Macaca fascicularis: one gene and its partners. The protein of the gene in region 6 interacts with the protein of the main gene of each other region in a pairwise test. Links are inferred from orthologs where the notes say so. Each region holds a gene or a part of one and is shown on either strand. Other genes may lie near its edges.

Region 1 (3,500 bases), on a different chromosome or scaffold from region 6:
GTGATAGTTGATTCATCTGGTTATTTCCCCGACGGGAACAGAAGTTGCTGGACAGCAGGAACTGAACAGTGCCTGTTCTGGAAGCCGTGGTCCTGCAGGACCCCAGTTGCCCTCCAGAATCCAGTCTTGCTGGGCGGTTCCATGCAGAGTCCTGAGCGGCCTGAGTTGTACCAGGCGAGCCCCTCCCCACCAGAGAGGCTCCAGGATGCCCAAGCCTTGCACTCTCTCCTCCACCTCTGCTAGGAGGTCCGTTTAGGGAGACAGGCGGCCCCCCAGGCAGCACGGGTCTGTCCGAGGAGGCCGGGGGTCCTTGCAGAGGGTGCGGGCAGGGCGGGTGTCCGTGACCAGGTTCCATGTGCCTCTCTCACTTTGTGCAGGGTTTGAGTCTCCTGCAGGGCCCGCCCCATCGCCCTCTGCGCCCCCGGCACCCCCGTGGCAGGGCCGCAGCGTGGCCAGCTCCAAGCTCTGGATGTTGGAGTTCTCAGCCTTCCTGGAGCAGCAGCAGGACCCGGACACGGTAGGTCCTGGCCTGTGCCTGGCTGGCTCCCCGCCACCCCCTCTGCCTCTGTTTCTGCTTCCAGTGCTCTTGTCCCACTCCACACTGGGGCTTAATTCAAGTTCCTTGTTCCTTTATGGTCTTTCCTTCCATCCTTCCCCCGACTCCTTTCCTCCTTCACGTCACCCCCTTCCCTCTTTCCCTCCTCCCTGGCCCAGTGCCCTGTTCCTCCCTCCCTGTCCTGTGTTCCTCCCCTCCTAACCCAACCAACCCTTAGTCCAAGGTCGCTGTGGTCCCAGCCCCACCCCCACACTGTCCCAGCCTTTCCCTGGCTCTGAGAGGCAGGCAGGAAGCTGGGGAGTCTCCTGTACGTCTGCTCCACATCCTACGGGATGCCAGCCTGTCCCCTTCAGTGTCCAGTGTCCTGGGTGACCAGCGTCACCTGCAAAGATCAGAGGGGGACCTGGAGGAGGCCAGCGTGACAGGATGCCAGGGCCCTTCTCACTCTGACATCTTCAAACTTTTTTTTTTTTTCTTTTCTTGAGACAGAGACTTGCTCTGTCGCCCAGGCTGGAGTGCAGTGGTGTGATCTCAACTTACTGCAACCTCTGCCTCCTGAGTTCAAGCGATTCTCCTGCCTTAGCCTCCCGAGTAGCTGGGATTATAGGTGCCCGCCACCACACCTGGCTAATTTTTGTATTTTTAGTAGAGACTGGGTTTCACCATGTTGGCCAGGCTGGTCTTGAACTCCTAACCTCAGCTTCCCAAAGTGCTGGGATTACAGGTGTGAGCCACTGTGCCCAGCTCAAACTTCTTTTTAACTGACGACCCTGTGAACCGAATAGACTCTTAGAAGTTCAGGATGTAAAATAAAAGAAGTCTTTTACCATCTCCATTTCACTTACGGGGAAACTATGGTCCAGAAAGGCCAAGCGGCTTGCGCCGGGTCACGTGGTGGGCATGCAGAGCTGGGACTGTCTGACCGTCTGGCCTGTGCTCCGCCTCCCTCAGACCCACTCTCTCTACAGTACAACAAGCACCTGTTCGTGCACATTGGCCAGTCCAGCCCAAGCTACAGCGACCCCTACCTCGAAGCCGTGGACATCCGCCAAATCTATGACAAATTCCCGGAGAAAAAGGGTGGACTCAAGGAGCTCTTTGAACGGGGACCCTCCAATGCCTTTTTTCTCGTGAAGTTCTGGGTAAGCCTGTGATAAACTCTTCCTTCCTACCACCAGGGCGTCCGTGGTAGTGAGAATGGGGCGAGAGTACCCAGAGCGTGCCCTTGCCACAGTAGAAACTTGGGGAGGTGGCACCAGTGAGAAGGGGAGAGCAAGCCCAGCATGGCTATGGGGTGGTCAGAGCTGAGCTGAGGAACAAGGCGGTGATCCCAGAGAGCTGGCCTAGTCGAATGAAGCCTTGTCTCGTGGGTGGTGATGGCAGCTAACCCCGGCAAGACGTGGAGCCCTCAGGAGGTGAAGTTCCAGAAAAAGACAAAGGGGACCCTACGGGGATGAGTGAAGACATTATGAGGAGCGCCCTTGTCACCCAGGTCTTTGAATGACAAGTCCTGCATGGGTTTCTGGGCCTGGAGCTTGTCCTTCAGTGCTCATGTCCAAGGCATGTTGGGCTGAACAGAGCTTGGAGAAGGGGAGGGAAGTGTTGGATGGGCGAGGCCACCCCAGAAGAAACACCCACCCAACTTCTCAGATAGCTCAGCCCATAGACTTGGCCTCTGCGGCCCTCCCACCTCACCCCTGGGCAGGTGTTTTGTGGGTAGAACCCCCTCCATTAGAAACGTCTTGTCTGAGGCCCAGAGGTACAGTAGCTGCCCTGGGAGCTTAGCTTCCTGCGGGCCCAGTATGTGCAGAAAAGGGGTGCGAGGAGAGAGTCAGACAGATAAGTGCTAATGAAGCCAGCAGTGAGGAAGGACAGGAAATCAGGCTCTGTGACTGAGGGTTGGAATATTCTCAGGACATGGACTGAGGTTTTGGTGGCTCTGCCCGCATCCCTCTTCCCCACTCCCCTTCAGCTCTCTGCACACTCTTTTCTTTTTTTTTTTTGAGACGGAGTCTCGCTCTGTCGCCCAGGTTGGAGTGCAGTGGCGCGATCTCGGCTCACTGCAAGCTCCGCCTCCTGGGTTCACGGCATTCTCCTGCCTCAGCCTCCCCAGTAGCTGGGACTACAGGCGCCTGCCACCACGCCCGGCTAATTTTGTTTTGTATTTTTTTTTTTTTTTTTTTTTGGGACGGAGTGTCGCTCTGTCGCCCAGGCTGGAGTGCAGTGGCCGGATCTCAGCTCACTGCAAGCTCCGCCTCCCGGGTTTACGCCATTCTCGTGCCTCAGCCTCCCGAGTAGCTGGGACTACAGGCGCCTGCCACCTCGCCCGGCTAGTTTTTTGTATTTTTAGTAGAGACGGGGCTTCACCGTGTTAGCCAGGATGGTCTCGATCTCCTGACCTTGTGATCCGCCCGCCTCGGCCTCCCAAAGTGCTGGGATTACAGGCGCGAGCCACCACGCCCGGCCTTACACGTTCTTTTCGATGCCTCTTGTGCAGAGATTCTTACCATTTATTTGCTCCCAGGCCATTTTCCTAATCTGAAAGCTTTACTTTTCCTAGAAAGACGCGTATTCACACCAAAGTTTACATACACGTTCGGATGGCTTTGCCAGCTCCCAGTGAGCAGCCCCCAGCCTGGCTGTCACCCACAGCTGAACGTGGGGGCAGGCTGTCTCCAGAAGGGACAAGTGTTGGAACTGAGACCTATGGCCTCTGACCTTCAAGACACTTAGCGTTTGCGCTCAACTAGCAGGATGGAAGTTGGACCCCAGCCTGAGGGATGGGCATATCTGTTGGCAGAGATGGGCAAGGCTGTTGCAGCCTAGGAGTGCATGAGTAGTAAAGGCAGAAGGAAGTGAGCTCTGGAGTGAAGTTGAAGCCGTAGGTAAAGGTATGAAAGAGGGAATAAGAGGAGACAACTGGGAAAGTGAGTTACATTCTGGA
Region 2 (3,154 bases), on a different chromosome or scaffold from region 6:
TCCTCATAGCAGTGTCTGAGCCAACACAGGGTGCCCGGGGCCTGGCATGGAGCAGGCCTGAGGCTCCAGGGGCCCCGGGCAGCCCAGGTGAGCGGCTTCTGACCCCCTTTCCTTTCCTAATGTTATGAGTAGCACTGGACTGAGGCCTGGCTGGCCCAGACCTCCAGCATCTGGAGCAAGCCGGCCTGTGAGAAGGGTGAGCATAGACTCTGGGACAGGCTGCCCGGTTCATCTCGCAGCTCTGCTGCACGCTGGTTCATTAGCTCCGCCATCTCCGTGATGGATATCAGCAGCTTCCCCTAGGTGGTTCCGCATTCCCCCATGTAAAATGGAATAATAAGCGCGTCTGCTTCATTCGCTGCAGGCGCTTGATGAAATGGTTGCTGCTATTGTTATTATAACGGTGCTAGTCATGCTGTTGTTGATTACTACTTGAAAGCCCAGTCCCAGCTGAGTCAGGGAGCACTGCCTGGCTTTGCGGGGACCTGGGGCCTCCTGCTCTGGGCTCAGATCCGCCTGTCAGGGGATCCTGTGTGCGGGGCTGGCAGGTCACACCGTCCCCGCCTCTGCCCACAGATCACCGCAGTGTGCAACTTCTTCACCTACATCCGCTACATCCAGCAAGGCCTGGTGCGGCAGGACGGTGAGCGCCCCCTGGTGGCCGGTGCAGGGATGGCACACGGGAGTGGGGCTGGGTGGGGAAGCGGCCTCTGGGCCCAGCTGCCCCTAGTGGAGGGGAGACTCAGCTAAGAGGCTGCGGAGCGGGGAGGGCTGTGGGTTAGTAAAGGGTTCACACCATCCTCCTGGGTGCTGAGCTGTGTACCTGAGTCCGTCCGGCTGGTCTTTCTTCTGCCACCAAACCTCTCTCGGTCCTGCACAAGGGGTCACCCCTGTGAATCTCTCCCTGGCCCTGGTGTGGCCATCTCCTCCTGGTCACCTGAACACAGGCTCGCCCGCCTCCAGCCTTTGATCCCACTCTACTCCATGCTGGACAGGGCCTCCCTCCACCCCCTTCCCCCACAGCCCATTCTGCAAGGCCTGGCTCCCTGCTCCTCCACCAACTTTGCTCCCTGCTGAGTCTTCTGAACCAGTCTGGCCCCACCCTCTGAGTAAGGAGCCGTCTTCTCTCCATCCTGGGGGTCAAGTCCCCTTGGAGGCCAAGGCACGCTGGGTGTTGACGCCTGTTAGATCCCCGGATGGCCACTGTGGTCCCCCCTTCACTGCGCAGGGTCCTTGTGAGAGGGTCCCAGGGAGGCATCTGTGCCTTGTCTAATGTAGTTCCCAGGTCTGGACCACCGCTGTTGCATGTGACAGCGTGTGCCTGCGTGTCTGCATCGGGCTGTGGGGGTGGCCGTCAGTGTGGTGCAGACAGATCCCTCGAGTGTGGTCGACACGCAGCAGTTTCCAAGGCTCAAGAGTGGAGCCTCAGAGAGATCCAGCCACTCGCTGAGGTCATCTGTTTTGGGGGCTGGGGACCCTAGGGTGCTGTGCCAGCTGCCCCGTTCAAAGCCACGGGAGGGGACCTGGCCATGTGCCCGAGGTGGCCCTGAGCTGCCCCTGACCTGCCCGCCCTCTCTCTGCCTGCAGCAGAGCCCATGTTCTGGGAGATCATGAGGCTGCGGAAGGAGATGTCACTGGCCAAGCTCGGCTTCTTCCCCCAGGAGGCTTAGGGCACAGCCCAGGCCTGAAGGGGAGCTCTGAGACAGAGCAAACTCCCATCCCAGAACAAGCCGACTCACAGGGAGACGGGCCTGGAGCCAGCCCTGAGCCAGAGGCAGAACGGATGGACAGACAGGCCATGGAGGCAGCACTGAGCCAGCACCACATGTCCATCCTGGGACAGACAGAGGGACAGACGGGCCTGGACTTCACAGCAAGACCCCTCTCTCTTCCCCACTGGGTTCTGCCACCACCAGGAGGATTTCAAGAAAGCACCAAAGACCAGGGAGCTCGGATCCATACTCAGGGGGCCTCAGCCCTTGGGAGGGGACACCTGAGGCAGCCAGCGCCCCCTCCCCAGTCCCCAGAACCGCCTGCAGGTGCCTTGTTGCCGGCATGTCTTCAGAAGGGGACTGTTCGGGGTGGCTGGATCTCCAGGGTACCCTCCGCCCCAGCTGCCAAGCCCTGGGCCAGCGGCGCCCCCTTGTGGCCATCCCATGCCTTGTTCCCGGTGGCCTCCCTATTGGACTGCTGGGAGGGGCTGGCAGGGCCTCCGGAGCACAGAACTGCCCCAAAGCCTTGTTAAGATGAGTCAGGCCCCCCCTCCCTCCCTCCCCTCCTTTCCCCCTTCCTCCCTCCCCCTTCATAAAGGCCTCCCTTGTCACCTTCCCTCCCACCCCATCTCAGCCCTGTGCTCCTGGAGGCCCTGCTCCCAAAACCGCTGGAAGGATTGGGGCAGTTTCTCCCACAGTAGAACACAGACAGGGCTTCCGATCGCCCACGCCTGTTTTCAGCTGTGGGTGGCCATGCAGACACGCGCCCTGGCACGTGGGGCCTGGGTGGGCAGGCAGGACTGGGCCCTACTACCCATCAGAGCCCACTCGGGACCAGGGTTCAGGGCGCCCACCTGGACACATCCCTCACCACGTCCGGATTTCCTTCTTTGGATGGAATGTAACGCGATCTCTATTTAATAAAGGAAGGCTTTGTTGGTACAGGCTGGGTGGCCACGCGCCCTCACTCCTGCACCCTGGGGCTCTGGCCAAGGCTTGGGCATCTGAAGGAATGAAACCAAATCCTTTCCCTGCCCACCCTCGTGCTTGGGATTAAACCCAAATCCTGAAGCCACCCCACCTCCGCCATCACCACTTACTTGCTGTGGGGAGGACTATTGGAGTCCTCCCTTAGTATTCAGAGGGCTGTGGGTTACTGGGGGATGAGCCAGGCCTCCCTCTCCCCGTGGCTGGTGGCCTGCTGTCGGGAAGAATGGCACCAGGGCTGGCTCTCCCGCTGCCTCACTGTGGCACCTTGGGCAGGTCCTCCCCTGGGTCTCCTTGCCTCCAGCAGTGGCCTCCTCCAGTCTCGCAGAAGCCTGCAGCTCAGAGGCAAAGCATCCAGGCCGCCTGGTGCTCAGGGGGACAGTGACAGGATGGATTGGTGATATCTGCTGGAAGTACAGGCAGGGACCATGGAAGCTCTGGGTTTCCCAGCCCAG
Region 3 (4,180 bases), on a different chromosome or scaffold from region 6:
GGCTGGAGGGCGGCCATCCTCCCAGCACTGATGGACAGAAGAAAGTGAAGCTGGAATGAGAACACGGGGCTTTCCCTGGCACTCTGGCCCTGCATGGAGGCCCCTTCCCAGAGCGCTTCCTAATGGCTTCCTCTTCCATCTTGCAGTCACACCTACCTGCAAGGCAGGAAGATGTCACAGATTTGAAAACTATGACAACATGCACTCACTTGCCAGCGTGAGCTGCAGAGTGGACAGAGACGAGGAGATAATGCGTGAAGTGGTAGAAAAATGAGAAGAGATTGTTCAGTGTGCAGAGCAGAGAGATGGTGAGATGGGAGCTGTGAGGAGAGCCGGGCGGCCTGGAGGCTCCCGGGGGCAGATCTGTGCTGAGCTTTTGTAGGGATCGCCGGCTGCCTCCGCCCCTGCACGTGCCAGCTCCTTCTCAGCTCGCCCTTTCTTGTTGTGCCCTGACAGGTGGCTGCCATGCACAGCGATGCCACTGAATCTCACAAACTAACCTGAAAAGGTGTGAGAAGCTGGGCACACACATGGGGTGTTTACGTGAAGCTCAGAAGCTGCACAGCTAAAGGGCTCGGTGAGGGAGGCATCACAGGTGTTGAAGCCTCATCGTGGTCCGTGCAGGCACGGCCAGGCTGGTGGCACCTCTGCCAGGAGGGTGGGGGGTGGGGGTGGGGCCGCGGGCTGAAATCGGGAGCGAACAGGCAGTCGGCTCTGGAGGCTGGCAGAGCGAGGTTCTCTTTCTTCCTCTGGGAGGTGGTGACTAAGACTTTAGAATAATTTGTGAAACTCTGCATTTATGTTTTAGGCATTTTATGTAAATATTTTATATTTCTCACTAGTAAAACGTTTAAGAGAATACACCCACGGGACAATCTACAGTGATACACGTTCTATAAAGTTCTTCTCAGCTTTGTTTGTGTGAAAAGCGTTAGTGCTGTTTGCAGAGAGAAGCTGAGTGAATAAGTTACATGACAGCCACAAGCTGGAAAAATACGAAGTGTTCAGCAAGGGATGAGTGTGGGCCACCGTTCCTGGTGCGCAGTAGAAAGAGAGGGCTGGGGATGATTCCTTAGAGCGATGTGTGGAAACACCTGGGCCTCTACACGCACAGGTCTGGGGAGGCCCCTGCGTGTCCACGGGCCCCCCACGGTGCTGCCGCCCCCACGGTGCTGCTGCCCCCACGGTGCTGCTGCCACAGGGATGCTCTCTGGGTGGCGGGGTCATGGGAGATTGCATTGTATTGTATTTTTCCTTTCTGCTTCCCATTTCTTGGAGACAAATCTGGTTGCCATGGAGACCGTGCTGTTGTCAAGGTGGCTGATTGGCCGGCGCCGGATGCAGGGATGCTTCCTTGGGCCCCCGGCGGGCGCAGCCCTCAGCCCGCACTGCGGAGCCAGGCGGCAGCATGGACGGGGCTGGGGCAGACATGTGGGCCAGCACCTTCACCCTGGCCATGGCCGAGAGGAAACCCCAGGACGTCTGGGTTCTGCTACCTGAGCACAGCCTGGTCCCAGGACGCCTGGACGGCGGTGGCGTCCAGTACCTGCTGGTGGGGCTCTCGAGGTGCGGCCAGAGGCTGGGGACCCTGGGAGAGGGACGGGGCTGAAGGTGCTTTTCCACAGGACTTTGGGTGGTCCCAGAGGCTGGGTGGGGCTGTCGGGCCTCTTCTTGTCCCTGAGACGGGAGGGGGGACTGGGTGCTCCTTCTTTCTCCCGTCTGAGCCTCTGCCTCGCCATGCTGGGCACACGGCTGCTGACGCAGGGGTCCCGGGGAAGACATGGCAGGTGCCTCGTGGAGGGTTTGGTTTCCCTCACTCGGCTCCTCAGGCCAGCGCTGCCCGTGGACACAGGCTTATCTCCTGTTTCCATGGCAGTGCCGTGGCCTCGAAGCTGTCTGTGCTGACAGGTGGGCCCTGGGGCGTGCCGGTGCCTGTGGTCACCATCCAGCCCTGCGCTGCAGACGGTGGGGTGCTCGGCCCTGATCGGGGGCCCGGGGTGGCTGTGAGTCACATGTGAGCCTCACGGGCCATCGTCATGGTCGTGGTGCCGTCAGCACAACAGGGTGGGCCCCATCTGCTTCTCTACCCGGCAAGGCATCCACAGCTCTGCCAGGAGCCAGCCGGGAGGGGCGCAGGGCAGCTCCACAGCCTCGCAGACGCCCGGCCTGACAGGCCCCCAGGCTGCCGGCTGGTCAGTCCCTCTGTGGAGATGCCCTGGGCAAAGGGGGAGTCATCCTGCCCTTGGACACAGCCCCTTAGTGCCTGAGACCCCTGGGGCCAGGTGTGTGTAGAATCCCAGCTTTTTCAGAAGTTGGGAAAGTAATAACCCGTGTTGGGGTCTGAGAAGTGCTTGGAAGCACATCACCGTTCCCACAGCCAGGCGGAGATGGCTCTGAGTGACTCCCAGCTGGCGGAAGAGAACTGAGGACGGGTGCCCCAACATGAGCCCCAGCGCCTGTGGCTTTGGCAGGCTCCTCAGTCCCATTTAAACACAGTCAGCAGTTCAGTTCCTCCAGCACGACCGTGTCCACGGGCTCTGTGGCCAGTGTGGCTGCCGGCTGCAGGTGGGGCAGTGTGGCTATAGAACATTCTGTCATCCAGAAAGTTCCACTGCGTGGAACTGAAGCAGAGCCTCTCATTCATGCAGGGTTCCCTGAAGCTCACAGCTGCTTGTGTGGTTAGCAAATGGTCACCGGTCTGGTGACTGCTGTGGACAAGCCAATCTCTCCCAGTGCTCTCCCCAAATCTCCCCTCGCCTGGCGACGCCCAGCAGGGCTGCCTGGGCCATGACCGCAGGCCTCAGTGACGCCCTTTCCCTCAGCTGGCAGGTGACGGGGGGATCACCTCCTCTCAGTCAGGACAGGGACCCCCCTTGCTGAGCCCCCAGGGACAGCCCCCAGATGCATGCTTTTCCCCTTCTAAGTGTGTCAGCTGGCCTGCCTCTTCCTGTGTTAACCCCAACTCACAAAACACCAGCAGAGCCACGCGGGCGGCAGGTGGCCGACACCTCACAGAGGCCAGGCCAGAGCGGGTTTTGCTGCAAAACTGCTGAGAGGTTTGCTTTGCTGAGAACAGCGCTCCAGATGAGGGGGTTGCAAGCTAGCGTGCATGGGCCTGCGTTTGCCCGTGTGGCCAAGGGGCTGGTGGTTTCAGAGCCTCAGCACAGGCAGGAGCAGGTGCTGGGCCGCCTTGGCCGTGGCCCTGGGTGGCTGGCGGGTGAGGTTTGAGGTTTGGGGTTTGAGTGTGGGATGCGAGGCAGGGGGCAGCGAGGCGCTGGGGTCGGATGGGCAAGGAGGCCACAGAACAGAGCGCGAGGCCCGGCCTTGGGGTCTCTTACTGCTGCACTCACACGCACCTCTTTCCCCCGCAGGCTCCAGTGCAGTCGCTGTCCGGGGACCTGGGACTCGGCCCACGTGCATGTCCTTTTCCACCTGTGGTGGGACAGGGCCGGCCGCCGGGGGCTGGTGAAGATGCGCATCTGGGGCCAGCGGTGCAAGCTGTGCCCTGCGCCCGGGGACTGCCAGGTGAGGCCCCCAGGCGAGCGGCCCTTCCTCAGCAGGCTGGTCTTGCACATCCTGCAGGACTGCTACGGGGATGGCCTCGGCCCAACCCGGCACCCCAGGGAGGCCTACGAGGGCTGCTGTGAGGCCTGCGAGCTGGGGGTCTGTTTCCTTCAGAAGGCCCCAGACCCTGCCTGGAGCACCAACACCACGACAGGCAACTTCCCTGCCATGGCCTGGGGTGGCACCGGCGCCGTCTCCAGGGGCAAACAGCTGCCCACCTCCGGCGATGACCTCGGCAAGGGTGGTGGTGTCATCGCCATCCCCTTCTCCCTTGTGCGCGCCAGCAATGACCAGGTGCCCATCGCTGAGGGCCCTGCAATCCCTGCCTCTCTTTCACAGGAGGCCTCTCTCCCTGTGACCGGCAGCCATGGGGCTCTGGTCATTGGCCAGGGCTCCATCTACCTGTCTGGGGATTCTGTGGCCATGCCTGGGGGCAAAGGCTTCCCAGTGGCCATTGGAGACCCCCTCTTCCATGGCCCCGGCCTCCTCGGCAGCAGTATCCAGACCTTCGAGCTCAAAGGTTTCCTTTTCAAGGGCCGGGGTTCCCTCTGTAGCCCCGTTGGCGTGGCCCAGGGCTGGGGCCCCGTCTCCCTCAACAATGGCCTTGTCCCTGCGG
Region 4 (4,095 bases), on a different chromosome or scaffold from region 6:
GGGGTAGCTGGTACCAAGGGGGTTGAGTCTGTGCCTCCGCTGCACTCTGGCCCAGGTATGTCAGGATGCCCAGAGCTTTCTCTTGCCTCTCCTGAGGGGGCCAGGAAATACAAGAGATGGGATATAATCTTTCAAGGTGTCAGGTGTGTCTCCCTGACATAGGAATCTAAGCAAACAGGTACCTAAGGCTTGTCATGAACCAGTTGTACCAGGTGCTGGGGATGGAAGACACCAACAGAGGCCAAGTTCCCCCTGGGGGGACAGTGGCAGGTAACAGCAGGGGAAGGAGGGGACAAGTGGAGCCACTTGAGTGTTCAGAGGCAGGCATCTTTGCAGAGAGACTTGAAGAGAAGCCTGAAGGGATCAAGCAAAGCAGAGGAGCCATGGGTGGGGTCAACAAGTCCAGAGACAGCAGGTGAGTGACAAGAGCTCATGTACCTGTTTTTTTTTGAGATGCAGTCTCGCTCTGTTGCCCAGGCTCGAGTGTAGTGGCACCATCTCGGCTCACTGCAACCTCTGCCTCCCAGGTTCAAGCAATCCTCCTGCCTCAGCCCCCCTAGTAGCTGGGATTACAGGCACGCACCACCATGCCCGGCTAATTTTTGTATTTTTAGTACAGACGGGGTTTTGCCATGTTTGGCCAGGCTGGTCTTGAACTCCTGACCTCAGGTGATCCATCCACCTTGGCCTCCCAATGTGCTGGGATTACAGGTGTGAGCCACCATGCACGACCAGACATACTTTTTACACTTGATCTTAGCCAAAAGGCAAGAGGCGAATGATTCGCCTTTTTTTTTTTTTTTCTTTTTTTTTTTGAGATGGGGTCTCGCTCTGTCACCCGGGCTGGAGTGCAGTGGCGCAATCTCAGCTCACTGCAACTTCCACCTCCCAGGTCAAGCGATTCTCCTGCTTCAGCCTTCAAGTAGCTGGATTACAGGCGTGCACCACCACACTTGGCTTATTTTTTTGTATTCTTAGAGATACCATGTTGACCAGGCTGGTCTTGAACTCCTGACCTCAGGTGATCCACCTGCCTCAGCCTCCCAAAGTGCTGGGATTACAGGCATGAGCCACAGCTGGCTGATTTACATTTTTAAAAGCCTATCAAGGTTTCAGACCCCTCCAGTTTTGAGAACTGAGCAGTTTGCCTGGCAGCTGGGGACCTCTAGCATCTACCTCCAAGCCCTGTGGGTGCCCAGATGGCAACACTTCTTAAGTGTCATGCTTTGGTATGGTTCTAAATTCTGTGTGTTCGTTCTCGTTTGACCTTGATCACAAGCAGTGGCTAAAGTGCCCTCTCCCCCCAACTCGATTCATGGCTCCTCTAATGAAGTGGGTGAGGCCAGCTTACTTTCTCCTGTCGCTTTTCTTCCTCGTACTCTTTATTGCCTCTGATCACTCCTTTCCCTTCCTCCAGCAGCTCCCGAAACAGGTCCACAGGGCCAGAACTTGGGGCTCCCGCCTCTGCTGCTTCAAGCTCAGGCAGTGAGTTCTGATGTCTGGCTTTCTTTCGTAGGAATTCTGTACGGGCCTGGGGAGAAAGTTATAGGCAGGGCATTCAGAACCTAGAGGTGATTCAAGAACTGTGAGTCTGGTGCCCACCACAGAAAATGGCAGTCCAGGGTGCTGGGGTTATAAGAAAGGGAGCACTAGACGCTTAAAAGAGGCACCTGTCCTAGCTGGGGGTGAGGGTAGGCAGATGAGGCAACGCCTGGGTTTTGTAAACTGCCTTTCAAATCGTAAACCACGGGTCATCAAGGATGGCTGGAAGGAGGTCCCTGGCCTAAACCAAAGGGGTTCCTAACCTCAAGTGAGACAATTAAAACAGCCATAAAGGTAGACCAAACTGCATTAGGCCAGACGATCTGAATTCTAGCCATGGCTCCAAGTCACTACCCCAAGTCGACTGCTGAAGCCCTGTCCCCCGCCTTCAGGACGCAGATTTCAAACAGCGCTCAGCAGCCTACTGAGATTCTAAAAACCCAGACTACCTCCCACCCACTGTGGAGGATCAGACTAGCTAAGGAACTGAAAGTTGGGTGTACACCAAACAGATTTAAGGAGCCATACAGAAAGCCCGTGTTTGTGTGTATGTGTCTAGGGGGCGGTGCAGGAAAGGGCTCGCCCGATGGCGTGGAGCCTGGCTGTCCCCCTCTCCTTAAATGTGCCTTCCCCTCACTGAAGCCATCTCACTCCGTGCAACGGAGATGACAGTGCCCCTCTAAGAACGAACAGTGCCTCCTGGGGATTCCGCAAGTCAGGCGCTCTGCATGTAGTTAGCATACAATAGGTGCTCAATAAATAAACTGCGCAGGCAAACTAAAAAGTGATCCGAATTTCCTTGAACTGTCCAAGCGCTCATGTATTCATTAAATGTTTTTAAGCTGCTCTTTTGTGCTAGACACTGTTCCAGCCATGTGAAATACATCAGTGGGGGGAAACTAAGACGAAGGCGAGATCAAGGGAGGTTTCGTGGAAGTGGCCACAAGGTTTGCAGAGCAACGTCCTCGAAAACGGGATCGGCGCCTGGTCCCGAATTTCACACGGGGCACACTGAGCCTGCGCAACGCTTCCGCTTCCGGCCCCCAACCGCGGCGCGTGCGCGCTGGGCTCCGGCGGTCAGCCCGGCCGGCCTCCGAGCTTACCTCTTGCTGAGCCAGCAGCGCCCTCCGCTCACGCTCCTTCTCCTCCTCCCGGGCCTGGGCCTCGTCACGCCGCACGCGGGCGACATTGTCCTTGTTCCGGACGTGCCAGCTCTTCTTGGGCAAGATATTCATGGCGTCGTAGCTGTCCAGGGACTGGCACGCCCGCCTCTTTGCACTTCCGATTGGCGAGAGGATGCCCCCCTTCCTCTTGTCCCTACTTCGACCGCAGATTGGTTCCGAATTAGTTGGTACGGCCCCCTGGCCTGTAACGACAGGTGATTGGCTGAGACGTCCTTTTCACAGCGAATGTTAGGCGTTCGGCTCGTGGTATCCCCTAGCAACCGCCTCTTATCACAGATCTGAACCAATCATAAGTTGGCCCGCCCCGATGCTACCAGATGCGGCCGTCGATTGGTCGACATGACCGTCAAGTCTCCTTGCGGAAGTGCGCTCCGCACCGACAAACATGCCCATACATTTGATTGGCTCCTGCCCTGCGGTAGCCCTGCCCCCACCTTCAGGACGCAGATTTCAAAGCGCGCTCAGCAACCTCGGCTGTATTTATTGATACAAGAAAGATCACCCGAGAGTCAGGGACGTGGCGGCGAGGGGCCCTGGAAATCTCCAGATACCAAAGCTGGAAGGGCGTGGAGTCTTCTCCAGTTCTCCTAGTTTACAGATGTTGTGACCTAGGCTTACAATGGGCCTGGGGTCTGAAAGTGGGGCGTGAGCTGCGGGGGTCAAAGAGCCGGTTCGGTGGAGGTCAGCGCCACAGCGCGCCGTGCCAGGAAGACTTTATTCTGCGCCTCCTGCGGCAAAGAGAGGTGGAGGTGTGACAGCCCTCTTCCCCAGCCCCTCTCCGTGTTCCCCGGGGGCCCTCTCAGGGACCCGCCTGGCTCACCGTCTCCCTCTGACGTTTGAGCTCAGAGATGAGGCGTCCGTAGGAGTTAGCCCGAGCCACAGTGTACGCCATCAGGATGCTGGAGGAGACAGGAACGGAAGCCACTCCTGACACGCTCTTCGAAGTCAGGGATGTGGACCCCTAAGTCCCTCCTCGTCCAGGCTCAAGGAGTTCAGTCTCCCAGCACCTCCGCGTTCAGATCCAGGAGTCCTAAGTCCCGCCCACCTCCTCCTTCGGACCCAGCAGTCCAGGAGCCTAGGCCTCCTCCCTCAGACTCAGTACATCGCCTGCTCCCACCCCCAAGCCTTTCCTCTCTTGGACGCAGGTGGTGGCCCCCAGATCACACGCATTCAAACCCAGACCCAGAAGTCTGGCCCACCTCACCTGGAGATCAGCAGAAGGGGCGCAGCAAAAGCCTGGGTCCCCAGGAAGAAGAGGAAGTTCTGGGTGGTCTCAGGGAGGCTGGAAATAGACTCAGGGATCTGGGCCCAGATGGACGACTGCCCCCGGAATGGACCACACGGCTTAGAAGGCGGGATCCTGAAGTCA
Region 5 (2,205 bases), on a different chromosome or scaffold from region 6:
AGCGGAGGCAAGATGGTTCAGTCAACTTCTTCACTACCTGGCAGCACTATAAGGTGGGCACAGGTGGGCAGAGACAGGGAAGGGGAGGGAGCCTGTTCTGGCTTCCTGACTTTCCTGCCCTGCCAGGCGGGCTTTGGGCGGCCAGACGGAGAATACTGGCTGGGCCTTGAACCCGTGTATCAGCTGACCAGCCGTGGGGACCATGAGCTGCTGGTTCTCCTGGAAGACTGGGGAGGCCGTGGAGCACGTGCCCACTATGATGGCTTCTCCCTGGAACCTGAGAGCGACCACTACCGCCTGCGGCTTGGCCAGTACCATGGTGATGCTGGAGACTCTCTTTCCTGGCACAATGACAAGCCCTTCAGCACCGTGGATAGGGACCGAGACTCTTATTCTGGTAAGGAGAACTCTTATTCTGGTGGGAGGATAGGGGAGGTGGGACTCCTGTTCTGGTGAGGGAATGAAAGGAGGTAGGGTAGGTAAGACGCCCCTCTGGTAAGTAGTAGGATAAGCAAGCTTTTATTCTGTCAAGAGAACAAAGGTCAGGACTTTTATCCTGGTGGGGGTATGGGGAGTCCAGATTCCTTCTCTGATGAGGCAAAAAAAGAATCAAGACTCCTGTTCAAGTGAAGGGCAGAGGGTGAGAGCTAGTACTCTTATCTAGAAAGGAAGTAGGTAATTTTCTTTTCTTTGATAAAGGAATGAGTGGTAGACTCCTAGTTTGCAGAAAAAGTGGGAAAGGTGTGACTCGTACTTTGGTAAGGAGATAGGGAAGGAATTAAGGCTATTACTCCGAAGAAAGTTGGGGGGCCAGGGCTCCTATTTTTTTGCTGAGGAGATGGAAGATCAGGGCTTGTATTAAATAAGAATGGGAGGGGCCAGGGGATACCTGGCAAAAGCCTTGCACTGTGAGGTGCAGGTAGAGACTTTTATTCTGGTGAGAGGACATGGACTCTCTCTCTCCCCTCAGGTAACTGTGCCCTGTACCAGCGGGGAGGCTGGTGGTACCATGCCTGTGCCCACTCCAACCTCAACGGTATGTGGCACCGCGGCGGCCACTACCGAAGCCGCTACCAGGATGGTGTCTACTGGGCTGAGTTTCGTGGTGGAGCATACTCTCTCAGGAAGGCCGCCATGCTCATTCGGCCCCTGAAGCTGTGACTCTCTGTTCCTCTGTCCCCTAGGCCCCAGGGGACATTGGTCAGCAGGAACTCAAGTTGTCCTGGCCACACCTTTGTGGCTCAGTGCCAGTGTGTCCCACAGAACCTCCCACTGTGGATCTGTGACCCTGGGTGCTGAAAATGGGCCCCAGGAATCCCCCCCTGTCAATATCTTGGCCCCAGATGGCTCCCCAAGGTCATTCATATCTCGGTTTGAGCTCATATCTTATAATAACACAAAGTAGCCACAGACCGTGTCTGGTTTGTATCTGCACCTGGCAGGGGTCACTCCCTGGGCCCGCCCTCCTCGTCCTCCACCTCTTCCTCTTCCTCCTCCTCCTCCTTCAGGTCCTCCAGGATGAGGTTGTCCAGGTCTTCCAGGAGGCCGCCCTGGCTCAAGCAGGTGGCCACAGTGGAGCCACTGCTAATGTGAGGGTTGCTGGGGTGGAGCACTTTGGGCAGGTGGTTCTGCTTCCGGCTCTTGGGGTGAGCACAGGATGTCCCAGGCACGTGGGGCTCTAGGGAGGGAGAGGTGCTGCAGACATGGGACTCCAGGTCCCATGAGAGTTTGGGCAGGAGGGGGCTGAGGCCACGAGGGGCTCTAGGGAGGGGCTGAGGCCACGAGGGGCTCTAGGGAAGAGCTGAGGCCACAATATACGGGGACCAGCACAACTGGACATTCAGGGGTGTTGAAGATACAGGAGACCTGGGGACATGGGGGGTCACCTGAGATTACAGGGGACAAAACAGGGGCCCCAAACCCAGAGACCATGGGGGCAGAGGCCATGGAGACCCTCAGGCATGGGCCACTGGGGTGAAACCTCAGAGCCTCGTGGGCAAGACCACGGAGACTGGGGGGCCATGGAGGCCACGTAGAAGCAGTGGCTGCTGCTGTGGGAGACGAAGTGGACTGAGTGGAGATTTGGGGACTTAAAGGCACAGAAGGGGACAAAGACTGCCCAGGATGTTGGAGGAGAAAAGCCTCACCTCGCCGGTTGTAGCAGTCGGCGGCCGAGCAGGAGTGAGTGTGGGTGCTGCGGCGATC
Region 6 (3,500 bases):
CCTGGAATCCCCAGCCTGAGAGGGACAGGACTCCAGTTAAATCAAGTAGGTATCGCAGAAAGTCCCTCAAGTTTATTTTAATAGGCTTTAGAGTTAAACACAAATATGCAACACAAACTGTAGGGGCAGGAAAAGGGATGTTGTGACCCCATTCATTCAACCAATCACTGCCAGGGCTGTCCCCACCCCCATCCGTTCTAACATCCAGCCAGAACCTTGTCCCAGCATGTGACGGGCAGGGGCGGGGGTGGGGGGCAGGCCGCCCATGCATCCCCCAAATGCCACAAAAAGACAGGTGGTACCTGGTGGGTCTGTCTGAGGCAGGTGCAGAGGCTGCAGCATCTGAACATGGAAATTGTCGCTCCAGCCTGGAAAGGGACAGAGGCAGACACCACGTGGAGAGAAATCTGAATTCTGATGGTGTGGGGGGTGGAAGAATCGGGGAGGAGGCACAGCAGCTGCTGCCCTATGTGTTTCTGGAGCAGTGATGGCTCAGATGAGGAGCCATACACGATGGGTGTCCATAACAAAAGAAAAAGCAAAAAAAAAAAAAAAAAAAAAAAAAAAAGAAAACACGAAGCCAGGGCCATGTGGAAATTAGCTCAAGTACCCAAGGTCAGGGTGGGTTAGGGTAAAGCTCTCACCAAAGTCCACCTAATGAGGAATTACTTAGTGCTAACAATGCTACAACTCTGACCACAGCAGCCTAACACACTGTACCACGTTCTAGCATCACACAGAAGTCGGTATTGCTGTGTAACTGCGTTTAGCAGGTGCGGCTATGTAAGCGGTTCCTAATTCGGGCAGCTAAGCTGAACCGAATGTGTGTTTGCAGGTTGTGCCTGCTACAAGAATAAATGATTGTGTACTTAGTCAATGTGGCATGATCTACTCTAATGGAATGCCCAACTCAGTATCACAGTATCATGCAGAGCCACTAAAGCAAAGAGAAATGGTGGCACTTCCATGTGGATTTACTGTGTATGTCCCCAGAAGGAGCAAGACCCTTGGAGGTTTGCTGGAGATGTACCCGAGGCCCGGAAGCTCAGCTTGGACTCAGGCTAGGGCCAGGGACCATGTCTGCCTTCATGTTGGCCACACTTGCGCCCTGGGCAAGCCGACTCCGTCCGCTGGCTGTTTCTTCCCCGCTCCATGGCTCTGGCCCCTGCAGGATCCCCTCATGGTTCTTCTCGCCTTGGGCACACTCAAAGACAGGCCTGTGCTCAGGACAATTTTGGGGGGCCTCAGGGAGAAAGTGCAGGGTCTTTGTCGCATACAGGAAACAAGCGCATCATCATCATCACCATATATGTTAAAACTACTTCTTTCTTTTGTGTATCATGCTCCTAATCTTCCACACCACTACATGAGTACTGTTCATATCCTAATTCTACCATTTTAGAGACAGATGCCAGTCCAGGAGCTGGTGGCCCCTGGCTGGCTGTTTCACTGGGCTCCTCTGTTTGGGAGAACCTTCTGGGTCTAAGATGGGCGCACGGTCAGCAGCAGCGTTGGCTGATCATCCAGCAGGAGGTGGAAGTGGGTTTCTGGGTGGTCGTGTGATGATCTAGCACAGCTCAGAACTGGTTCCCCGGGGACAGAAACGGTGTGTTTTTCTGGAAGCCCCTGCCAGAACCCCTGAGCCATCTCAGTGTGCACTGAAGGGGCTGAGTTGTAGAACCAAACTGAAGTGGGGGCTGCTATGAAATGGGGGCCTGAGGGTCCTATTTCAACGAGTTGATCATTTACGGCATCGCGTCAGAGTGAACCACATGGCAAGCTGGAGTGCCGTCCCCCTCTGTGCCTGATCAAAATACAGACCCTAGCAGCAAGTTCCTTCATGAGGATGGAGCGCGAATGGGCGCGGTCATCTGCAGGGTCATCCTCACTCTCTCTCAAAGGTTTTCCGGAGGGTGCAACCTGTTTTCCGGATTGTGCAACAATAGCTTAATGACCGAGTCTGAGATGCCATTTAGGAAAAAAGCAAAACTGTGTTTACAAGACTGTTAGAGATGAGTCACTGTCATGAGAAACGTCTGCAGAACTGTTAAACCCCCTTCGGGTTTCCCACTGCTCTCCCTCAGCCGCTCATGACAGGAGTCTCGATAATGAAAACTTGCGAATGGAATAATAGTGATCTCACATCATGTTGACTAAGAAGCTGATTGTTCCAAAGGCAGTTACCGTTCACAAATAGCTGGTGTTCGTGTTAAAGAGAGCACCACTTGGTGGTGAGTTGAAAGGCGCTTCTTCTCTGTATCTTTTTTATTTTTTTTTCCTTTTTCTATTTTGGGTAGAAATATTCCTGGGAAGCTAGATAGAAATGCATTTTCATTTCCCAATAATTCTTAGGCACAAGTTAGAAAACTGCTGACCTTCACTAAAATATGTCAGCACTTCATATTATAAAAAATGAAATTGAGAACCGCAGCATGTGTATATACGTATATCTAAATATACACACATATCGGTGCAGTACACAATGATTATTCAATGTATATTGAAAACTGAGCTTTTTGTAACTAACCTGAAATTCTGCAGTGAAAGTTCATTGCTCAAGAACAATTGCAAGTGTCTTTCTTTTGGCTCTAACTATGGTAAAACGTTTGCACATCAGACTTTACCATTTACACGTTCCTAAGTGCCGACACCAGGGCAGTCTTACACGGGGATCAGAGGAGGACGCGCCTAGGATGCATTCGCAGCTACTGAGCATGCGCACAGGGCCAGCTCCGGCGGCACCGGCTCGGTGCTCCCTCGGGGTGGAGACTGGAGGACGAGAAGCCGGAGCTCCCGCAGGCCGCGCAGTGGCGTCATCTGGGTGTTGTGCTGACTCTGGCCGGAGAGGAGGGCCCCGAGGAGGAGCCGCGGTAAACGGGAGATGTGGGCGAGAGTTTAATCGGGCTGGTTGGGTCCCCAGTTTGGAGCTTCCAAAGCAGCTCTTCGTTGGTTCGGCTCAATCTCTTCTTCTCCTGGGTTTCCTTCTCAACATACTCCTGGAGGTTAGCGTTTTCCTCCGACAGTTGTCTGCACGGGCACAATGACAAAACAAGTAGCAATCATGCTAGTGGACACCGAACCTGAGGTCACGACAATGGGTGCAGGACAAAGGGAGGAGGCCATGATGCCATCAGGGAGAACAGGGACCAGGGCGACCCAGTGACCAAGAACTTTGGTGGAGTCATGATTTCCATTTAGCCCAATGACACACCTGTTCCCAGAGCCTCTCTGGCCAACAGCCATCATCTCACAGGCCCTCTGCCTGGTCAGCGGGGGCACTGGCTGTCCACTGGACAGAGCAAAGGCCAGCGACTGAAAGGAGGGAAGTGGAGAGCTGGAGTGGGTGTGCTGCCAGGGGCTCCCAAAGGAGAGACAGCCGCGGAGCTGGCAATTCACAATGACAACAGCACAAGAGCAGCGACGAGCCGCAGGCCTTCCTGAGCCTGCCGGGAAGCTGGGGGGGCCTTCTCCTGGCCTCCCTGCCCTAGGCTTGTGCCTGC
Region 7 (4,230 bases), on a different chromosome or scaffold from region 6:
CCCGCCCGCGGCTCTACTCTTGCTTCCGGCTCCGGCGTGGGGTTTGATGTCCACGGAGTGGCTTTTTGTTTAGCGTTTTGAAGGGGTAATTTAGCCGGCTCCAACCTCGGGAGCCGCCAGTTACTGGCCTGTTCCTTCATTCATACATTCATTCAGTCACTCGGCCTCTCATTCAGTAGCACACGTTGAGGGATTACAGCAGTGATCCCACGTTGAGCGTTCATTCTAAGAGCTGTTTATAGATTATCTCGTTGAACCCTTGACAGCAATCCCGTGACACAGGGACTAACAGCACCAGTCTGACGGTTGAAAAACAGGCCAGTGAGTTTATGTAACGAAAGCAATGTTAGCAAGTAGTGAGTCTAAGCACTAGATTTAAGGGGTCACTGCGCACTGGTAGATAACAAAGATGAGGAGGAGGTAACCTAGTCTCTGCCCTTCAAGCACCCAAGGTTTATTGTGAGAAAAGATTGCTACAAAGGACAGGAACAATTTAGAGAGTTAAATACAATGACAGTTCCTAGCATGACTGAGTAGGCTGTCATTATGTATTTCTTCAAGACAAAAATTATGTCAGCGAAATAGCATCAAAGAAAGAGAGTTTTATGCTGTTAAAAATGCTTGGAAGCATAGTTCGGAAACATTGTTAAGAGACACTTTTTAAAGTGTCTCAATATGACAAATTTCCTTCTGAAATGAAGGTTTTAAAGTATTTTCCTCTACTGCAATCGCTGATGTTTTTTGTTCCGTGAAAAGCCTGTCTGTTAATTTGCGAGGCTCCTTGTCAAGGAACCTTAACTTTATAATGAAGCAGTTTTACAGTGGCTGACTTAATTACTCTTAGAGATGAATAACCTAGAAAGCAGAGTTACATTAAATAAAAAACATTGGTTTCAAAACAAGGTATGAGTTATAATAAAATATTTATCAGTTATCTGTTAAATTTGGTCTTCAAGAGCTACTCAGGTATAGAGCACAGTATATGTCATGTATTTCTAAGATAGTTTCATAATACTTAAGAATTCGTGGCACTCAAATTTTTTGCTGGTCTTAAAATGAGGAAATCCACATTTTGTGTAAAAACAAAGATACTTTTGTGGTCAACCCAAATAATAAGACTTGCTGCTAATATATGAAGAGGTACACCCCCCAAAAAAGAAAGAAGATTAACAATAGAACAGTTTTTTCAAAATAATGTTAGCCTCTTAGTTTTCATTTCTTTTTTTTAAAAGGGGAATACCGTTTTTCAATGCATTCATTTAGTATCTGATATTTGATCATGAAAAATGAATCATGTTAAAATTACTTTCACCTCCTCCCCAGATTGACACAAAAGTTACCAAGTGATTATATGTGAGAGTATCCTATGACCCCACTCTTAGAAGTTCTCCCAATTTGCAGAGAATCAATTTGCACGTTTTGTCTCTCTCGAAGGGGGAAAAAATTCTCTAAGCTGGTGATTTTACATTCTTTGACAAACTTCAATAGCAACAGGCAGCGATACCCCTTTAAGCAAATTGCAAGGAAAAGACCTCATTTTAAAATTCCCACCTCTGGCTCCCAAGGATTGGTTTGCAAACTTCGACAAAATACTCTTCTCCACTCGCTATTGGTGAGTGCCCTATCATTCATTCTTTTGCCTGGAGTTTTGTGAGGTACCCCCTTGCTTTACGGGAAAAAACTGCTCCGGAACTGCCCTACTTTAGACTTTTTCATGGTTATCAATCTGTACAAAGAATCACCAAACTGATAAAGCAGGAACCAAAAGGGCAAGTCACGCTGCCAAGACAACTGTGTCATTCGCTCGAAAAAGAAACGGTGAGCCTCCCCAGCAGACTGGGTAAACCGGCAAAGGATTTTACGACATAGTTGGAGATTGGAGAGTTACAGAAACTTTTACGATTTTGTTTTTGTTTTTTGTTGTTGTTGTTGTTGTTTTTACAAGTTTTAAAGGAGTGATTGAGTGTCAAAAGAAAAGCAGAGAAAAATACAAGCACAATTTAAAGATAGCAGGAAGAAGTGTTCCGAGAGTATTTTTCTCTTTAGGGTAAGGTTTGAAAGCATCATGCCCAGATTATCAGTGGATTTTTGAAAAGTAAAGGAGGCAAGATAGTAAGATTAACTATAGATCATTTTCTACTTTAAGAATCTGTGCTTCGTTTTTGTTGCTTAAATGGGGATTTAGAAGGACATTTAGTAATATTGTAATTTTTAAATGAATTTTTTTTTGTATATTGTCATACCTGGTATAATAGATAATGCATCTATTAAAAGATATAAGAGAAAATAGAGTTGCTTGAACCCAAATTTTGTGTATATCTGTGGATTAGGGAATCCAGGGACAGATCTGCTAATGGCTAAATAAAACATACTATAGATACCTGAAGCAGAATCAGCATGTAAGGATAAATTCTCAAAAAAGAAATCTAGCATCGTATTTTCAAAAATGGCATTTTAAATTAAAACAAATATAAAAGAGAATTTATCAAGGAAACATAGATAAACATGAATAACTATTTCTTGAGTTGCTTCTGTTAATCTATATAGGGGAATATAAAGTAATAAAATCCAGCCCCTCAAGAACAGGGACAAATGAGGCTCAGAACATTTAAACTAAAACTTCTGAACAGTTCTTAATGCCCAGATGACTGTTGTAGAGCACAGATACTTCAGGAGCTCAGCTCAATGTGAGATGAATTATTCAGAGAAGGCTTCACAGTATGGGTAAGACTCAATTTGGGCCTGAGCAATGGGCAGAATTTCAGAGAGGAAAGAAGGGAAGTGGCATCCCTACTAGTGAGTGAGTTGTTAGCAAGTATGTGCAGCCCGAGGAAGAGCTGGCTCTGACTGCAGCAGAAGGTTCATTTGGAAACTTTGGTTAAAAATTTATAAAAACAGCATGAGAAAAATGAAAAGCTAGAATTCCCAAAATCAAGGGTTTTGGTCCTGTGTCTGGAACAGGAGGCACACCTTATGAAAGTAATATTTGAAGACGATAAAACTGACAGTGCAATTTAAGATGACTACAAGAACAGAGACCAGAAGCTAAGGGGCCTCATACTGTAAATACTGGCACACAGATGAGTAACCCTGCTTCTTACCCAAATACATTTACCTTATCATTGCTGAATAATATAAATTTTGATGCATTTCTTTGTAGTCTTCGAAAGCATTGAGTTTACTTCTTAAGATTTTTGGGGACCTCTGCCACATTGTTTTGGGGAATCATGGTTGCCCCATCTTTATAAAAGTCTTGTCATAAGATGTATAAAAACCAGAATTACACATGAAACTGCATTGCGGTTTCATACCTATTTTTTACCAGCTTTAATGAAGTATAATTTATATATTATAAGGTTCATTTAAGGATATAACTCAATGATTGTTTTAGAAAATATAATAGAGTTGTACAACCATCACCACATTCCAATTTCAGAAAATTTTCATCTTCCTAAAAAAATACTTTGTGCCCATTTGCAGGCAAGTCCTGGTTTCCTATCCCCAGCCCCACTCACTAAAAAACTTTCTGTCTATAAATTTACCTTTTCTGGGCATGTAAATGGAATTACACAATATGTGATCCTTTGCATCTGGTTTCTTTTACTTAGCATAATGTTTTTCAGGTTCACCCATGTTGTAGTATGTCTCATTACTTCATTCCTTTTTGTTGCTAGGTAATAATCCACTCGATGGCAAGACCACATTTTATTTATTTAACAGTACCAGTTAACAGACATTTGGATTTCTTCCAGTATTTAATGATAGTGTTTAATTGTACTAATTGTAATTGTATTACAGTAAATACAGTACAGTATTTAGCTATTATGAATAATGCTGCTATGAAGATGGGTACAAGTTTTTGTATGAACATGTGTTTTCAGTTTTCCTGGGTGTATATCTATGAGTGGAATTACTGTCATATGGTAACTCTGTATGTGTAACTTTTTGAGGTGTTGTACAACTGCTTTCCAAGGTGAATTCCCACTTTACATTTCCACCAGAGTGTATGAGGGCTCCAATTTGTCCACATCCTCACCAACACTCCTGATGATCTGTCTTATTCATTTGGCTGGATTTTAAGTGGTATCTTATTACAGCTTTCATTTGCATTTTCCTAATGACTGATGATACGAAGCATCTTTTCATGTGCTTATTGACTATCCATAGATCTTCTTTTGTAAAATGTCTTTCAAATATTTTTCCTTTTTTTTTTAATTGGGTTGTCATCTT

What was found.
Region 1: the proteins of MTUS2 (region 6) and TEAD4 interact in binary tests that used the Homo sapiens proteins (3 or more experiments, as listed by UniProt). The link is inferred for Macaca fascicularis from reciprocal best matches to the Homo sapiens genes MTUS2 and TEAD4.
Region 2: the proteins of MTUS2 (region 6) and RAB3IL1 interact in binary tests that used the Homo sapiens proteins (3 or more experiments, as listed by UniProt). The two-hybrid records come from large-scale screens. The link is inferred for Macaca fascicularis from reciprocal best matches to the Homo sapiens genes MTUS2 and RAB3IL1.
Region 3: the proteins of MTUS2 (region 6) and RTP5 interact in binary tests that used the Homo sapiens proteins (3 or more experiments, as listed by UniProt). The two-hybrid records come from large-scale screens. The link is inferred for Macaca fascicularis from reciprocal best matches to the Homo sapiens genes MTUS2 and RTP5.
Region 4: the proteins of MTUS2 (region 6) and LENG1 interact in binary tests that used the Homo sapiens proteins (3 or more experiments, as listed by UniProt). The two-hybrid records come from large-scale screens. The link is inferred for Macaca fascicularis from reciprocal best matches to the Homo sapiens genes MTUS2 and LENG1.
Region 5: the proteins of MTUS2 (region 6) and SHFL interact in binary tests that used the Homo sapiens proteins (3 or more experiments, as listed by UniProt). The two-hybrid records come from large-scale screens. The link is inferred for Macaca fascicularis from reciprocal best matches to the Homo sapiens genes MTUS2 and SHFL.
Region 7: the proteins of MTUS2 (region 6) and TTC23 interact in binary tests that used the Homo sapiens proteins (3 or more experiments, as listed by UniProt). The link is inferred for Macaca fascicularis from reciprocal best matches to the Homo sapiens genes MTUS2 and TTC23.

The regions. Positions count from the first base shown.
Region 1 is NC_088385.1:3,905,657-3,909,156, forward strand, and holds part of TEAD4 (transcriptional enhancer factor TEF-3), read left to right. Parts: intron 1-377; coding exon 378-517; intron 518-1,524; coding exon 1,525-1,698; intron 1,699-3,500. UniProt on the Homo sapiens protein: Transcription factor which plays a key role in the Hippo signaling pathway, a pathway involved in organ size control and tumor suppression by restricting proliferation and promoting apoptosis.
Region 2 is NC_088388.1:12,084,769-12,087,922, forward strand, and holds the end of RAB3IL1 (guanine nucleotide exchange factor for Rab-3A), read left to right. Parts: intron 1-576; coding exon 577-643; intron 644-1,587; coding exon 1,588-1,670; 3' UTR 1,671-2,654; downstream 2,655-3,154. UniProt on the Homo sapiens protein: Guanine nucleotide exchange factor (GEF) which may activate RAB3A, a GTPase that regulates synaptic vesicle exocytosis. Promotes the exchange of GDP to GTP, converting inactive GDP-bound Rab proteins into their active GTP-bound form.
Region 3 is NC_088386.1:137,802,071-137,806,250, forward strand, and holds the start of RTP5 (receptor-transporting protein 5), read left to right. Parts: upstream 1-1,380; 5' UTR 1,381-1,408; coding exon 1,409-1,566; intron 1,567-3,371; coding exon 3,372-4,180.
Region 4 is NC_088393.1:61,962,034-61,966,128, forward strand, and holds the start of LENG1 (leukocyte receptor cluster member 1), read right to left. Parts: upstream 2,801-4,095; 5' UTR 2,778-2,800; coding exon 2,646-2,777; intron 1,532-2,645; coding exon 1,352-1,531; intron 596-1,351; exon of another isoform or gene 499-595; coding exon of another isoform or gene 439-498; intron 355-438; coding exon of another isoform or gene 193-354; exon of another isoform or gene 183-192; intron 92-182; coding exon 1-91. Other genes in the region: voltage-gated chloride channel TMC4, read right to left, coding at 3,386-3,454, 3,547-3,625, 3,931-4,086.
Region 5 is NC_088393.1:10,638,155-10,640,359, reverse strand, and holds the end of SHFL (shiftless antiviral inhibitor of ribosomal frameshifting protein), read right to left. Parts: coding exon 2,148-2,205; intron 1,679-2,147; coding exon 1,446-1,678; 3' UTR 1,162-1,445; coding exon of another isoform or gene 971-1,161; 3' UTR 501-970; downstream 1-500. Other genes in the region: ANGPTL6 (angiopoietin-related protein 6), read left to right, coding at 1-53, 127-397, 971-1,161.
Region 6 is NC_088391.1:9,338,526-9,342,025, reverse strand, and holds the end of MTUS2 (microtubule-associated tumor suppressor candidate 2), read right to left. Parts: intron 3,028-3,500; coding exon 2,814-3,027; 3' UTR 53-2,813; downstream 1-52. UniProt on the Homo sapiens protein: Binds microtubules. Together with MAPRE1 may target the microtubule depolymerase KIF2C to the plus-end of microtubules. May regulate the dynamics of microtubules at their growing distal tip.
Region 7 is NC_088381.1:84,144,450-84,148,679, reverse strand, and holds the start of TTC23 (tetratricopeptide repeat protein 23), read left to right. Parts: upstream 1-1,430; 5' UTR 1,431-1,612; intron 1,613-1,652; exon of another isoform or gene 1,653-2,047; intron 2,048-4,230. UniProt on the Homo sapiens protein: Participates positively in the ciliary Hedgehog (Hh) signaling.